Linked DNA regions of Macaca mulatta. Each later gene encodes a partner of the first gene's protein in a complex. Links are inferred from orthologs where the notes say so. Each region holds a gene or a part of one and is shown in the gene's direction. Other genes may lie near its edges.

The links.
Region 2: the proteins of MAPK8 (region 1) and DUSP16 are in contact, whole or in part, in a crystal structure (PDB 4YR8), measured with the Homo sapiens proteins. The link is inferred for Macaca mulatta from reciprocal best matches to the Homo sapiens genes MAPK8 and DUSP16. Residues at the interface, in NP_001310257.1 of Homo sapiens: Arg189, Val196, Ile197, Leu198, Gly199, Asp229, Ile231, Trp234, Gln253, Thr255, Val256, Thr258, Tyr259, Val260, Asn262, Arg263; in NP_085143.1 of Homo sapiens: Phe215, Leu267, Asp268, Tyr271, Lys275, Pro279, Ile281, Ser282, Pro283, Asn284, Phe285, Asn286, Leu288, Gly289, Gln290, Leu292, Asp293.
Region 3: the proteins of MAPK8 (region 1) and ATF2 are in contact, whole or in part, in a crystal structure (PDB 6ZR5), measured with the Homo sapiens proteins. The link is inferred for Macaca mulatta from reciprocal best matches to the Homo sapiens genes MAPK8 and ATF2. Residues at the interface, in NP_001310257.1 of Homo sapiens: Asp112, Ala113, Gln117, Val118, Met121, Glu126, Arg127, Tyr130, Leu131, Tyr133, Val159, Lys160, Ser161, Asp162, Cys163, Val323, Trp324, Asp326, Ser328, Glu329; in NP_001243019.1 of Homo sapiens: Phe36, Val44, Lys48, Met51, Thr52, Leu53, Lys54, Phe55, Gly56, Pro57.

Annotation. Positions count from the first base shown.
Region 1 is NC_133414.1:60,852,722-60,857,993, reverse strand, and holds the start of MAPK8 (mitogen-activated protein kinase 8), read left to right. Parts: upstream 1-2,162; 5' UTR 2,163-2,306; intron 2,307-3,576; exon of another isoform or gene 3,577-3,770; intron 3,771-5,272. UniProt on the Homo sapiens protein: Serine/threonine-protein kinase involved in various processes such as cell proliferation, differentiation, migration, transformation and programmed cell death.
Region 2 is NC_133416.1:14,927,933-14,932,617, reverse strand, and holds part of DUSP16 (dual specificity protein phosphatase 16), read left to right. Parts: intron 1-3,658; coding exon 3,659-3,829; intron 3,830-4,685. UniProt on the Homo sapiens protein: Dual specificity protein phosphatase involved in the inactivation of MAP kinases. Dephosphorylates MAPK10 bound to ARRB2.
Region 3 is NC_133417.1:80,007,995-80,011,722, reverse strand, and holds part of ATF2 (cyclic AMP-dependent transcription factor ATF-2), read left to right. Parts: intron 1-2,665; coding exon 2,666-2,892; 3' UTR 2,893-3,728. UniProt on the Homo sapiens protein: Transcriptional activator which regulates the transcription of various genes, including those involved in anti-apoptosis, cell growth, and DNA damage response.

The DNA of each region.
Region 1 (5,272 bases):
CCAAGGCTTCAAGGCATCACTCACTGTCAATGATTCGTCTCTCACCTAGCTGAACCTCAGCTCTGTATATCCAACCACCAACTTAACATCAGTTTTGGGCATCTCAAAAGCCAAACAGCCAAACAGCCTGCTCTCATGATATTTTCATCCCAGTCTGGTCCATTTCTAAATTCCCATCTTGGTAAACCAGCACTAACATCCATCCTTGGCCACAAGCCAGAAACCTTTGAGTTTTCCTTGATGTCTCCCTCTTCTTCATTGCCCCACATAACCCATCACTTGGAGAATGTGCAAGTTCTGCCCCTTGGACCTCCTAAATAATTCACAGATCTTTCCATGTCCATCAGCTATTTCCATGACCATCACCCTAGATCAAGCCTCCACCTTTTACTGTCTAGGCTACTCCTACATCCACCTGGCCTCTTTCCAATAAGGAATATTTTCAAGACGCTATTCTGACCATGCCATACTCTTTGCTGAATATGTCAGGGGCTTCCCATTGCACTTAGGATAAAAAGATTTTCAACACGGCCAATATGGCTGTCCTATGTTTGGTCCCTTTACCAATCTTCCTGACTTCATCTCATAGCTCCTTTTTCCTTGCTCCTCCAGCAGAGCTGGCCTTTCCTGAAGTTCTCCATCTTATCCTGCTTAATCTCATCACAGGACCTTCGCATGCAAAGTTCTCTCTAAAATATTCTCTGTCTAGTCAAACCTATTCCCAGCTCAAGGGACAGTTCCTCAGGGAAATCTTTTCTGGCCTTACTAACTAGTGTATTAGTTAGTTTCATAATATTATGTATCCTTAACAATTTGTATTATAATACAGTGATAATTTTGCATTTACTGTTATTACTTTCATAGTACAGTGATTAAATCTGTAAACTCTATTGTACTGCTAGGCACTGAATGGGCCTGCAATAAATAATTATTGCAGGAATAAAGGATGGAAGGAAGGAAATTAAGAAGGTTGAGAGGGAGGAAAAGAGGAAATGGGAAGAGAATGAATGAATAATCACCTGTATGTTCGCTTTTAGAATCACCAGAAAGAGGCCAGCCCCACATGTAATAGGAAAGTAGTCTACCTGAAATCATTCATTCATTCAACAAATATTTATATATTCTTTATTAAAGTAACTTACTTGTTTCCGATTGTGAACATAACTATTCCTCTTGGAAAACATGAGAAAATACCCAAAGTATAAAAGAGAACCAAGTCACCCTTTATTCCATAGTCCAATGACGAACCATTGCTAACATAATTTGGTGTATTTCTTTCCAGGTTTTTTCTATGTGTATATATAGTAACTAAGTGGGATCGTTCTATATATAAGACTTGTTTCTTGCTTCTTTCTCTTAATGATATATTGTTAACATTTTCCTGTGTTGTTAAGAATTCCTTGAACACATGGCGTTTAAATTGCTAAAATGTATTCTACTGCATGGATGTAGGTAACTTAAACGCCTTTCCACCTGTTGTTGGATATTTAAAGGCTTGTCAATTTATCGCTTCTGTAACATTTACACGTTTTGTGGGGCCTCAGAGGTAAACCAGGTAATGCAAGGAATCTGGGAAGAGGTGGATTTGCAAGGAATCTCGGAGGAAGTGGATTTTGGAAAAACTGGAGGAAGCTTTACCGGGGCAGCTGAAGAGAACACTTATCTCTCTGTAGGTTGCTGGGATCCGGACAGGTGTCCTCAGCATGGAACGTACTGTCGGTCAAGGTAACCAGCTCTTCATCACTCAGGTGTGTACCAGGAAGGGGTGTCTGTTCGCTGCGCAAGTTTGGCCTAAGCTCACCTGCCCTTCAAACCCTGTGGTGACGAGGCCCGAAGCCTTAAGCTCCGACCTGGCTACCGCCGCCAACCAGATGCAGTCCCCTGGGGCCACGCGCCGCCACGTGCCACCACAGGGCCCGCCCCTCCCGCTCCTGGCCACGCCCCTCACCCACTGCCCTCGGAGGCTCTCTCCGCGGCTCCGCCTCCAGGCGACCTCCGCAAGTTCTCTCAGCCCCGTGGAGTAGCCCCGCCCCCGGCCAGCGGCCCCGCCCCCGCAATCCGGGCCCCGGGGCTGCCCCGCCCCGCAGGCCACTCGGGAGGCGCGGGGGCGGCGCCCTGCGCGATGACGTGGGCGGGCGTGCGCGGTGACGGCCCGCGTCCCTGTTACTCAGCGGAGCGGCCGAGGCTGGACGACGCGGCTAGGATCGCGGAGCGGCGAGCAGACCTGGGTAACGGCCGCGGCGACCGCTCGGACCGCCCCTGTCCCCGCTGGCGGGCTTCCCTGTCGCCGTTCGCTGCGCTGCCGGGTGAGTGCGGCGGATGCCGCAGGGCCTGGGCGGCAGGCGGCCCCGTCGTGTTTATGTTATTGTGCCGCTGCCGCCGCCTTCTCCTCAGCCGTAACCCCCTCCCGGGAGTGGGGGCGGGAGCGCGCGGCGGGCGGGGGCGGCGCGGGAACAATAGCGGCGCAGAGGCGGGGGCCGGCCAAGGGGGCGTGGGGCTGCGGGACCTGGGCGCGCTCTGCTACCCGCCAGCCCGCCCGCCGCGGCGAGCCCCGCCCGCCTGTCCTCTCGCGTCCTCTTCGCGCGGGTCCTGCCTCCGCGGCGGGAGAAGAAAATAGCGGGGGGGTGGGTGGCAAGTTCTGAAACACTTCGGCAAGGGTCGGACAGAGGCGTCTCCGCGGCCCGCCGCACCCTGGCTGCCTCCGGGGCGGCGAGGAGCCGGGAAGAGGGCTTCTACCAGCGGGTCCCCAAGCCTGCCCCGCGCCCATGGGGACCGTATTTTGCTTCTCGGTGGTTTCTTTGTGCTCAGGTTCTGGGCGAAGGCAGGCAGCAGCGCTGAAAAGGGCCGGGATGGCCTGCAGCTCTGGGCTGCGAGGCACAGCCCAGGCCCGTGGTTCGGGTGGGAGGTGTCCATCCAGCTTGGCCCGAGCTTCGGTGGTCAGCGCACATTTCTCTTGAGGGTCACTCGGTGGTGACCTTTTGACTTTTTCACCCCACCCTCCCATCTCTTTGTCTCACATTTGTGTTCCGGATTCAGAGATGGTAGAACCAAGTCCATTTTAAAGTACCCTGATGAACACTTTCCGTTTTTATTTCTGAAAGTTCCCCGCCTGGTCTTTATTGCGAATTTAATAACATGTTAACTACATGGCATTGTCCAGTGATTACCGTTTTTACCTCTGAAATTCAGCGATCTGTCCAGTAGAATTCTGGTCCGTCAGTCCATTGTGTTTTGAGATAGGCATCCAGCAAATACCTCTTTGGCAATTAGAACATGTTTTTTCATTCATTCATTCATTCAACAACTGTTCGGTACCGTACCCAGATGAAGAGGTTTGGTTTGAAGGTAAAGGAAGGTATCCTTTCATGGAAGAGGATGCTTTGACTGAAGTATAATAGATGGACCTTTAAATGAGAGAATTACATAAGAGATGTCTGTTAAGGAAGGTATGGTTATGTTCTGGGTCATTTTTTAAGCAGTATATCTGGAAGTTCAAGTGTAATGTTAGGAAGTAGAATTAGATTTGGTCTAAATATACAACAGCTTTTGTTTATTTCTAAATTTTATTTTTTCCAGTCTTGCAGCCTTACAGTCATTTGTAATGGTTACCTCAGATTCCCCTGCTGTGGTTAACGTTAAACCTAGGAGGTCAGATGCTCTAAGTGAACATGTTTAGTGCTGTGCCTGACAAAAGCAAGCAATCAAAATGGGACTTCCTTGAGGGCAGGCCTGTCTTGCATCTGTTTCTCCACCACCTAGCCTGGAATATAGTAAGTGTTCAATAAAAGTCGGATTGATGAAAAGCTCTTTGTAATTGATAATATTTAAATTCAAGCCTTAAAAAAAACTGTAATGTTCTCCATAAAGTTTTGGAAGCTTCATGCAACTGTCGCTTCAGATGGCTAAATGATCAGTTCATGTACATTATCTGTTATGATGACATGGGCTTTTGAATCACGTGTAGGTCATTCACTGTCCTAAAATAAAATCTTGTCTAAATGTTTTTTTAATATGATTAATAAACTAAAGTAGGTTGTGGGGTGTGTGTTTCTGTGTATGTACTAGTTTATGTGTGTCTGTGTGTGTATGTACGTAATGCACACACAGGCACACATAAACTGGTATTTCAGTAGGGGTCTAAAATGATTGCATTTATAATTTTGTGAATATTATTTGAAAGGTTTTTGGTGACTCATTTTGTGAAAAATTGAGGACAAAGCCACATAAATGTTTTATTAGAAATATTTCTAATATTTTGGAAATGTTTACTTGAAATGTTTGGTTTTAAGTTCTAACTTGTGTTAACACATTGGTACAAAATATGATCCTAAAACTCAAAATAATTCATTTATCCAAGTTAAAGCTCTTTTCCACTCCCTGAACAGTTTAGCGTTTGTTTTGGATTTGAAAGAATACGAAAAGAGTGAACTAATTAATGAGCTTCTTATTATTTGGTGTAAAGTGGAAATGAAGAAATAAGAAAATGATACTTTTTTAAGATGAGGGATGAAAACCTTTGAGATACCAACGTTTTATTGCTTTACCTAGTTAAGGTATGTCAGCTTCTAGTAGGGGTTACTGACAATCCTTTGGCAGTAGCTCACAGTCAGCCTATGTAAAGAACCAGAGTTGTGTTATTTTGTTTTCCAAATTATTGGTTTTTAAAAATAGCTTTATTGAAATTTAATTGACATGAAATTCACCTGTTAGAGTGTATATATTTCAGTGGTTTTTAGTATATTCACAATGTTGTGCATTGATCACCATCACCAATTCCAGAACATTGTCATCACCCCAAGAAGAAACACCATATTCATTAGCAGTCACTCTGAATTTCACTTCAAATTATGCTTTAAAGTAAGAGATATAGCATCGATTCTGTTAGTAAATATATTCCTTTAATAAGTATGAAAAGGGCTCCTTTTAAGTGTCCTGTCCTGGCAGAATAGGAAACTATATCCTTCACACTCCTTTAGATCGGGGGAAATGCCATTTGGAAAGGAAGTTAGTGCAAGAATACATTGTACACAAATTAATGTGGTTAGAATCTTAAGTATTTGCTACATGCCTGATATTATCGAAGTGACCTTGGGAGGATGAGATGTTCAGCGAAACAACTTGAAGTAATTTGTTGTTAAATGACTAGTCCCCAACTATCCTAGTGCTAAGAGGTTGTTGAATAGGAGCCTGCTTCTTGTTGGTCAGCTTTGCCAGCGGGTTGAATTTTGACATATTTGAGTCATCTACATGGTTGAGATGCTTTGTTGCACGA
Region 2 (4,685 bases), on another chromosome or scaffold:
GATCCGTCCACTGCACTCCAGCCTGGGCGACAGAGCCAGACTCCGTCTCAAATAAATAAATAAATAAATAAATAAAATTTTAAAAATAAATAAATAAATAAATATTATCCTTAGTTATAAGATCTGGACATTCTGAGTCATAAGAAATTACAAGTTGCATAATTTTAGTGTTCAGTGATTTGTCTGCTGGTGCTTTGAAAATTTTTCATTCATTTGTTGTATATGTGGTAACTGTTGTATATGTTTTAACTACCAAAATTAGATAGAATTTCCCATTTCCCAAGTGTGTCAGGTGATAGAGTTGTTTAATACAGGGTGAGCTTTTTTGGAGATGTCATTTATAGGATAAGTTTTGTGAGATGCAGGCTACTTGTCAGCCTTCCTGAAAGAGAAATGCGTATCTCTCCACTCTTCTCTTGGTCTGTGCTCCAGTAGATGGTGGGATAGGGGTGGATGGAATGAAAGCTTTAAATTAATGCTTTAGATCATTTGGGAATTTTCTTTTTAGTACGGCTAGTTGGAGAGTTGGCTATATGGGAAATAGATGAAATGCTGCTAATGTTGTGGAAAACACGTCACCGCTGTCTACCTTCCTAGGAGTAATTTACCAAACCTGTGTGGCTTGGCTTAGCCAGACCAAAGTGTCTACATTGAAACATTAGTTACACATTTTGTTTGCTTTTTTTAGGGGTATGAAATTATGTTGCTTTTTTTTTTTTTCTTTTCTTCAACTAGTTTCAACTCTCCATGTTTACTGTCTGCTGATCCTGAAAGAATTGTGACCATACTTTAGTCTGTGAGTGTCTAGAGAACGAAGTTGCCTAAATCAGACATGTCAGACTGAGGCATAACAGAATTACTCTTAAGAGCAATTAAAGTACTTTACTGCAAAATAAACATTTTCATTATTTTCCATTTTTAATGTTAGAGTTGTCTCCTTTGTGTGATCATAAAGCAACAGATTTTCTTTCCAGTATGGAGAGAAGAGAGAACTGTCCTCTACAGGTGAAGGTGTACTCTAGTTTTTCACATATATTCTAAAATAAGCAACTGAAAGGATTGTGTTTATGTTACAAAAAGGGAGTTTTGTTTTACAAAATAATTAAACTATGTGAGAACTACAAAAGAATGTAATGGCCAGGCATGGTGGCTCATGCTTGTAATCCGAGCACTTTGGGAGGCCAAGGCGGGCAGATCACCTCAGGTTGAGAGTTGGAGACCAGCCTGACCAACATGGAGAAACCCTGTGTCTACTAAAAATACAAAATTAGCCGGACAAATTAGCTGGGCGTGATGGCGCATGCCTGTGATCCCAGCTATTTGGGAGGCTGAGGCAGGAGAATTGCTTGAACCCAGGAGTTGGAGGTTGTGGGTGAGCGGAGATTGTGCCATTGCACTCCAGCCTGTGCAACAAGAGCAAAACTCCGTCTCCAAAAACAAACAAAAAACAAGAATTTAACTGCATAGTTCAAAACTGTGCAACCATATGAACTATATGCAGATTATTTAAAATATAAAAGTTAAATTTGCATATGACTTTTTAGAAAAATGTCTTCCATAAAGTAGAGCTTTGTATCAATATTATTTCTTTGTATAACCATGGAATCCATTCACAATATAGGGTGGGAGGGCAGTTCTCTTTGATTCTGCCTTCCTTGAAGGCGGCTCTGTCAATTGATAAATCTCTAGTGACTTGCTCCCTATTTAAATGAAGGCATGAGTGGAAAGGTCCTGTCTCTCACTGCAGGAAACCATCTTTAAAGTCATGGAATTGCTAAAAGGATAGGGATCTATTTTTAGAACTTTGGCCTTAAAAACATTTTAAGAATATCACTAAGCCACAGTAGAGTACTACTTTTATTATGTAAATATACTTCCATTTTAAGAAAATACTGTGATTTATAACTGATTGCATGGGTGAGAGGGAAGAAAAAAGAGTGACTAATTAGAATTGTTTAGTAGAGTTGTTATATGTATTTTATTTTGCTTAGCAGATTTTTCCCTCCCAAAATGGAATGGTGGTTCACGTTTGCTTTTACAGAAAATCGTATTTATGATTGGAATTGTGAAGGAGGTGCTCCTAAGGGAAAATGTTTTCATGGCTGAATTAGGATAAGGTGTTATCTAAATCAGGAATGCCTTAGAAGCTGTATGTACCACATGTTTTCTGTGTCGGAAGTAGTATCTATGTTTTTATTTGTAAACATGCATTCTTTTGGTTGGATTTATGGAAGACTAACAAACAGAAACATGGGTTTTTAGCATTGCGGTCTGGCTGCCTGTGCACCCACAGCTGTGGAGGCCAAGACGCTTCTCTGCCTGCAGAGACTGCCCATCCCTGTTTCTCAGCAGGCTGGAAGTGTCTGCGTATTTGTCTTCCTTCCTCTTAGCACAGATACTTCCAGAATAGGGGGCACAGTCATTCTTAGGTTCAGGTCCATGTTAGGGAAACACATATAGGTTACTATGACTCCGTTTTCTGCATTCCCAGATGATAAACAGCATAAAATTAGGAACAGGAGAAACTTGGCAAGATTGGACAGTGAGTCAAGTCTTCAGACAACTTTAAAAAATATGCGCAAATTTTTTCAAGAAGCTTATCAGTTTTTCGGTACTGCTTTTCACAGTAAATAGCGGATAATGGTCGATGTTATGTCTTGTAATGGAATCTAGCTTGGAGTCCCTGGGACAACAAAGTTATGACGAGGGCAGATAAGAGGACACTTCATTCTCTGTCTCCGTCAGCCATTTGGAGCAGAAAGTTTGCATGATTGAACTTTCCTTCTGAAGTAGATCTTATTTGTAAGAGAACTTATGAAAGGAAGAGGGACATTTTAAACACGTTTCAAAACTGAGTTGCTGGTGAGGCCACAGATAGTTTTCAGAGGTTCAAGGGAATCAGGCAGTGTCTCATCTGTTGTTAATTAATGAAACGAAACTGGAGTCACTAGAGTGCAGCAGTGAATGAAAGGTCAGTGAATGGAAAAAACTGTCAATGAAGGAGGATGTCAGCAGAGTGGAACATTGTCATAGATAAAGATCAGTGAAAATGTACTCTGGCCGAGGTGGTGTTTTCTGGAAGTGACTAGGAGCCAGTTTGGGACATTTCAAGCCAAACTGAGCACTAAATGAATGTTCTGATTGCAGCTAAATCTGTTAGATATTTTAAAATATTTGTTTGTTTGAATTTGTTCTAGATATCAGTTGAAAAAGCTTCTTTTGTTTTATAATATGTTTTACAGTGTAGTGTTGTTGTTATGTTTGGCTCTTTTGTTTTGAGGCTGAACGATGGTTTCTTTCTCTCCTTTGTTTCTGTTCTCTGTCTCAGAACTTTCTAGAGCCACATTTACTTTTGAGGTCCACTGAAGTCAAAGTGACATAGGATTACTGTACTAATTAACGCTAGAGCTGGACCTCAGACAGCCTGGCTGATGGCTCAGTTTATGATTATTGCAGAATTGCGTCTCCTCTGAAAGTTGTTCTGTAGGGGGTGACCTGAAAGCCAAGACATGGCCTCAACTTTACTACCAACTTGTGTAAATGGTCATGAACAAACCAGTGACCATATTTACATTTCAACTAGTTCATCTGTAAACTTTGTTATTGGTGTCGTGTGAAATTGCCTTTAAAGAGATTCTCCTTTCTCTGGTCTTGTCAGATCTTCTTTCTTCTCCCTCATTGAAGCCTTTGAGCAATATGGCTTTGGGGAAACAAGGCTCTTCCATCAGTTTGGGAAAGGACCATGGCCGTTTTAGCCTGGTCACAGCTGGGAGGCCAGGACCCCGTGAATATCATCAGCAATGTCCCTGCATCCAAGGGAGAGTTGAAGGTAATTCCACAGGATTTAGAAAAGTAGACTTATAACCTGGCTCTTCCAGTTATTATATTACGTGATTCTGAGCCTATATTATGTGATTCTGAGCCTTATCTATGAATGGGATTAGTAGTAATACCTACCTCATAGGGCAGTTATAAGAGTGTGTAAAATACCTATAGAGTGCTTAGAGCAGCGTTTGTCACACAGTAAGCGTTCAGTACGTTCTAGGATTACATACATTATAAAAATAATCATTTATAAGGTTAAAATGAAATTCAAGTGGCATTTCCTTGGATTCTGTGGTTTCTCTTTGAGAACATTTACTGGAATATTGTTTTGTTGGAAGTATGTATGTATTTTTTTGAGACAGAGTCTCACTTTGTCACCCAGGCTGGAGTGCAGTGGTGCGATCACAGCTCACTGCATCATCAACCTCCTGGGCTCAAACAATCCTCCCACCTCAGCCTCCCAAGTAGCTGGAACTACAGGAACACACCAGCATGCCTGGCTAATTTTTGCATTTTTTTTTTTTTTTTTTAATAGAGATGGAGTTTCTCCATGTTGCCCAAGCCGTTTTGTTGGATTTAAATGACAACCATTCCATGAACTATTTTAGAGCCAGAATAGAAAAATATATGAAGGCAGTTCTTTAGAGAAACACCAGAACTGGCAGGGTGCAGTGGCTCATGCCTGTAAACCCAGCACTGTGGGAGGCTGAGGTGGGGGGATCACCTGAGCCTACGAGTTTGAGACCAGCCTGGGCAACATAGGAAGGACCCTGTCTCTACAAAAAATACAAATATTAGCTGAGCGTGGTGGCGCCCGCCTGTATCCCTGGCTACTCAGGAGGCTGAGGTGGGAGGATCAC
Region 3 (3,728 bases), on another chromosome or scaffold:
CCAAGAGTTCAAGGCTGCAGTGAGCTGTGATTGTGCCATAATACTCCAGCCTGGGTGACAGGGAGACCCTATCTCAAATAAGAAAAAGAAACTTGTGGACATAGGTAGAGAACTTTCAAGATTACGGAATTGCCAAACAGCTGGTTTCTTTTAGCTTAGGTAGAGCTAGAAGTGGCTCTTTGAGTACACCATGGCTTTCTGTATCTCTCTAGTGCTTGTGATTACACCAGTCATTTTCTCCCCTCACCTAGAACTGGACATAGGTGCAAATATATCACATTGCTTTTACTAATTCTGAAAGTCTGTAGGTAAGCATTCATCCTTTATAATTTACTGTTTTCATTTTGAGTTGTTGCCTCCAGTATGTATTTACATTTCCTTATACCACTCATCACAGATCAGCCTCTTTATTTTTAAAAGCTGGTGTATCCCTTGAACTCAACATTCAGGGAAACGTCAGCCTGTTGTTCTTTTAAAGAATAGTGGTGGGCCGGGCGTGGTGGCTCAAGCCTGTAATCCCAGCACTTTGGGAGGCCGAGATGGGCGGATCACGAGGTCAGGAGATGGAGACCATGCTGGCTAACACGGTGAAACCCCGTCTCTACTAAAAGATACAAAAAATTAGCCGGGCGAGGTGGCGGGCGCCTGTAATCCCAGTTACTCGGGAGGCTGAGGCAGGAGAATGGCGTGAACCCGGGAGGCGGAGCTTGCAGTGAGCTGAGATCCGGCCACTGCACTCCAGCCTGGGTGACAGCGAGACTCCATCTCAAAAAAAAAAAAAAAAAAGAATAGTGGTGAAATAAACAAATAGAGCTTTTTAGTATTCCCTCCAGTTAAACTGTCATTGCCAGTGTTTTGTTTTCTTTGTACATGTAATGATTGGCTATTTTAATATCTGAATTATAAATATTTTATAACATTCATTATTGCTTGATCAGAAAAGTAGAGGGGAAGGGGGGCATTAGTTGAGAAACTACCCATTGGGTGCTATGTTCACTATTTCAGTGATAGGTTCAGTAGAAGCCCAAACTTCTATTGCACAATATACCCGTGTAACACACCTGCATATATACCATCTGAATCTATAATTTTTTAAGTATTCATTCCATTTTGTATGATTTTTAAAGGAATACTACTTCTGGTGGTTGGTTTTGTTGTTGTTGTTTTATTGTACCTTGAGGTCAAGTATCCAGGGGTATGGTTTTGATTTATAGCATGTTATAGAGAAGATGGGGTTCCATCTCATTAATGTATTTTAAAACCTGCTTTTCAAAAATGCATGGATTTGAGGCAGATGTTGAAAAATTCTGTAAAAACTTTATTTCAGAAAATGCACAAGATTAATAATTTTTTTTTAGCTAAAGTTGACACTCTCAGGTATCCCCCTCTGCATCTTCTACATTGCAAATCATAGGCTAAGTCCTGCTTCATAAGATATCCACAATATTTTTTACTAATTGACTTTCAGAATGGGCATCTGGCCATCAGTAAGCAGGCCAATACACATTCTCAGATTTGATTTTAAAAGCCTACTTATTGTCACTTCTGAACACTGAATAAAAAAAAGTTTTAATGCCAAGTGAAAAAAGCAAGGTTCCAAAGAGTACATCCAGTGTGATACTGTTTTTAAAATGTTTCAGAATAAACAGCTGAACTATGTTGCTTAGGGATACATACCTATGTGTTAAAACTACAAAGGAAAAACAAGAGAATGGTTAAAGAAATGTCAGAGTGGTGATTACCTTTGGTGAGGACAGGAACCTCCAGGAAGCAGAAGTGTTAATGGCAGTGTTCTCTCTTAGGTTGGCGGCACGGTTTCCAGGTGTTCATGTTATCATTGTTCCTCATAACTTACATATACTATAAATATTTGTGTGTTATCTATATCAAATTTTTACTAAATGAAATTACTGTATTCTGTTCTATTAAAATAAGGGTGTAAGACTTGTTCAGGTCTAAGTATTTGCAGATTTATTTTTGTAAATACTTAGAATGCCTTTTCCTGAGTATCTTTTCAGTTGCAATGTTTAGAGTTTTGTATGGATTTTTACTTGAATCCCAATTTATTCATGCAACTATAACAGCTGGTGGCATTTAGATTCTAAATATTGCTTATTCTCATATGTATGCATCATTAGAATCAGGTGTTATAATCATTCATGGCTGCAATAGATGGAAAATCAGCCAGAATAAATACAGTTCTGGAGAATGCAGAGGGAATAATTTGAAGATGTAATTTGTATGTAAGACTTCATTTTGTTTATGCATGTGGTTATAAATTTTTATCTTATAATAAGAATGACATGTAGGCCAACCAGACTGAGTTTGTTAAATGTGATACTTATATTTGATTGTATCTGTAAGAGCCTGTCTTCCAAACTCTACCTCATTTTCTTTCTTTAACACTATTTAGCAAATATTTCTTCAACTCTATTCCATAAGGCAGTGGGCACCCAGATGTTTCCATATGCATGGTTGTGCCTTCTTTTGACCTATTGCAGGTAAAATTGCCTACTTCATGACCTATATCAATTCCTGTAATACCAACTTGTCTAATCAGTTTTGTAAGATGCTTTCTAACTTTTTACTCCGTATATTGCCTCAGCATAATGGTGCATTCTTACAGATTTTAGGAAAATGAATAATTTTTCTTTTTTTCACCCAGCTGCTGATAAAGATGATAGTTCAGAAGACATTTCAGTGCCGAGTAGTCCACATACAGAAGCTATACAGCATAGTTCGGTCAGCACATCCAATGGAGTCAGTTCAACCTCCAAGGCAGAAGCTGTAGCCACTTCAGTCCTCACCCAGATGGCGGACCAGAGTACAGAGCCTGCTCTTTCACAGATCGTTATGGCTCCTTCCTCCCAGTCACAGCCCTCAGGAAGTTGATTAAAAACCTGCAGTACAACAGTTTTAGATACTCATTAGTGACTTCAAAGGGAAATCAAGGAAAGACCAGTTTCCATTTATGCGAAATCTGTGGTTGTAAATTTTTTTTTTTTTACTTGAAATTAAATTTGGCTCTAAAGTTGGTGTAGCAGCAGTTGATCAGACTGAAAAACAGTTTTTAGTCTCTGGAAAAAGACTGATTTTGCTTTTTTTATAAATATTAGTAGATTTATTAATTTTTCTGTGCTCAATGTGTAAATTGTATTATAATTCATTGTGGTTTATTTCACTTTTAATTTGTTGGTGTTTTAATAAATGGGGGTGTTACTGAATCTTTCTTCCCACTTCCATTTCTTTTGACCACCCCTTAACCCTCAACTGTGATGGTAGTAGTATTATCATTTATACCAAAGTTTTGCATAGTCCCTGTTGACTTTGTAATGTTAACGGAGTCATAAAAGCACTAGGCAAGAGAAAGATAGAAATTTGCTTTTAATCTTTTTGCCTTTTATTTTGCACATTATGCAAAAGGAAAAACATTAAAGAACACTTTTTTTTAAGTGAGTGAAAACATGGTAAAGACATACAGTGCTTTTATGCACATTGTTAAGCTAAATCAAGGTCATTTATAATCATTTTCCTTTTTTATTTAAGGTTTTAAGTAAACAAATTTTAGAATTTTCAGCATTTCAAAAATGATTTTATTTTTCAAGTCTTAAATTCAATATTTTACACCTGTGTTTTGAGGCTAAGAAATATGAAATTATATAATGTATGATACAGGGTTATCAAATATCTAATAATTTTTGAAATTAGCTCTTGTTTTTCATTTTTTT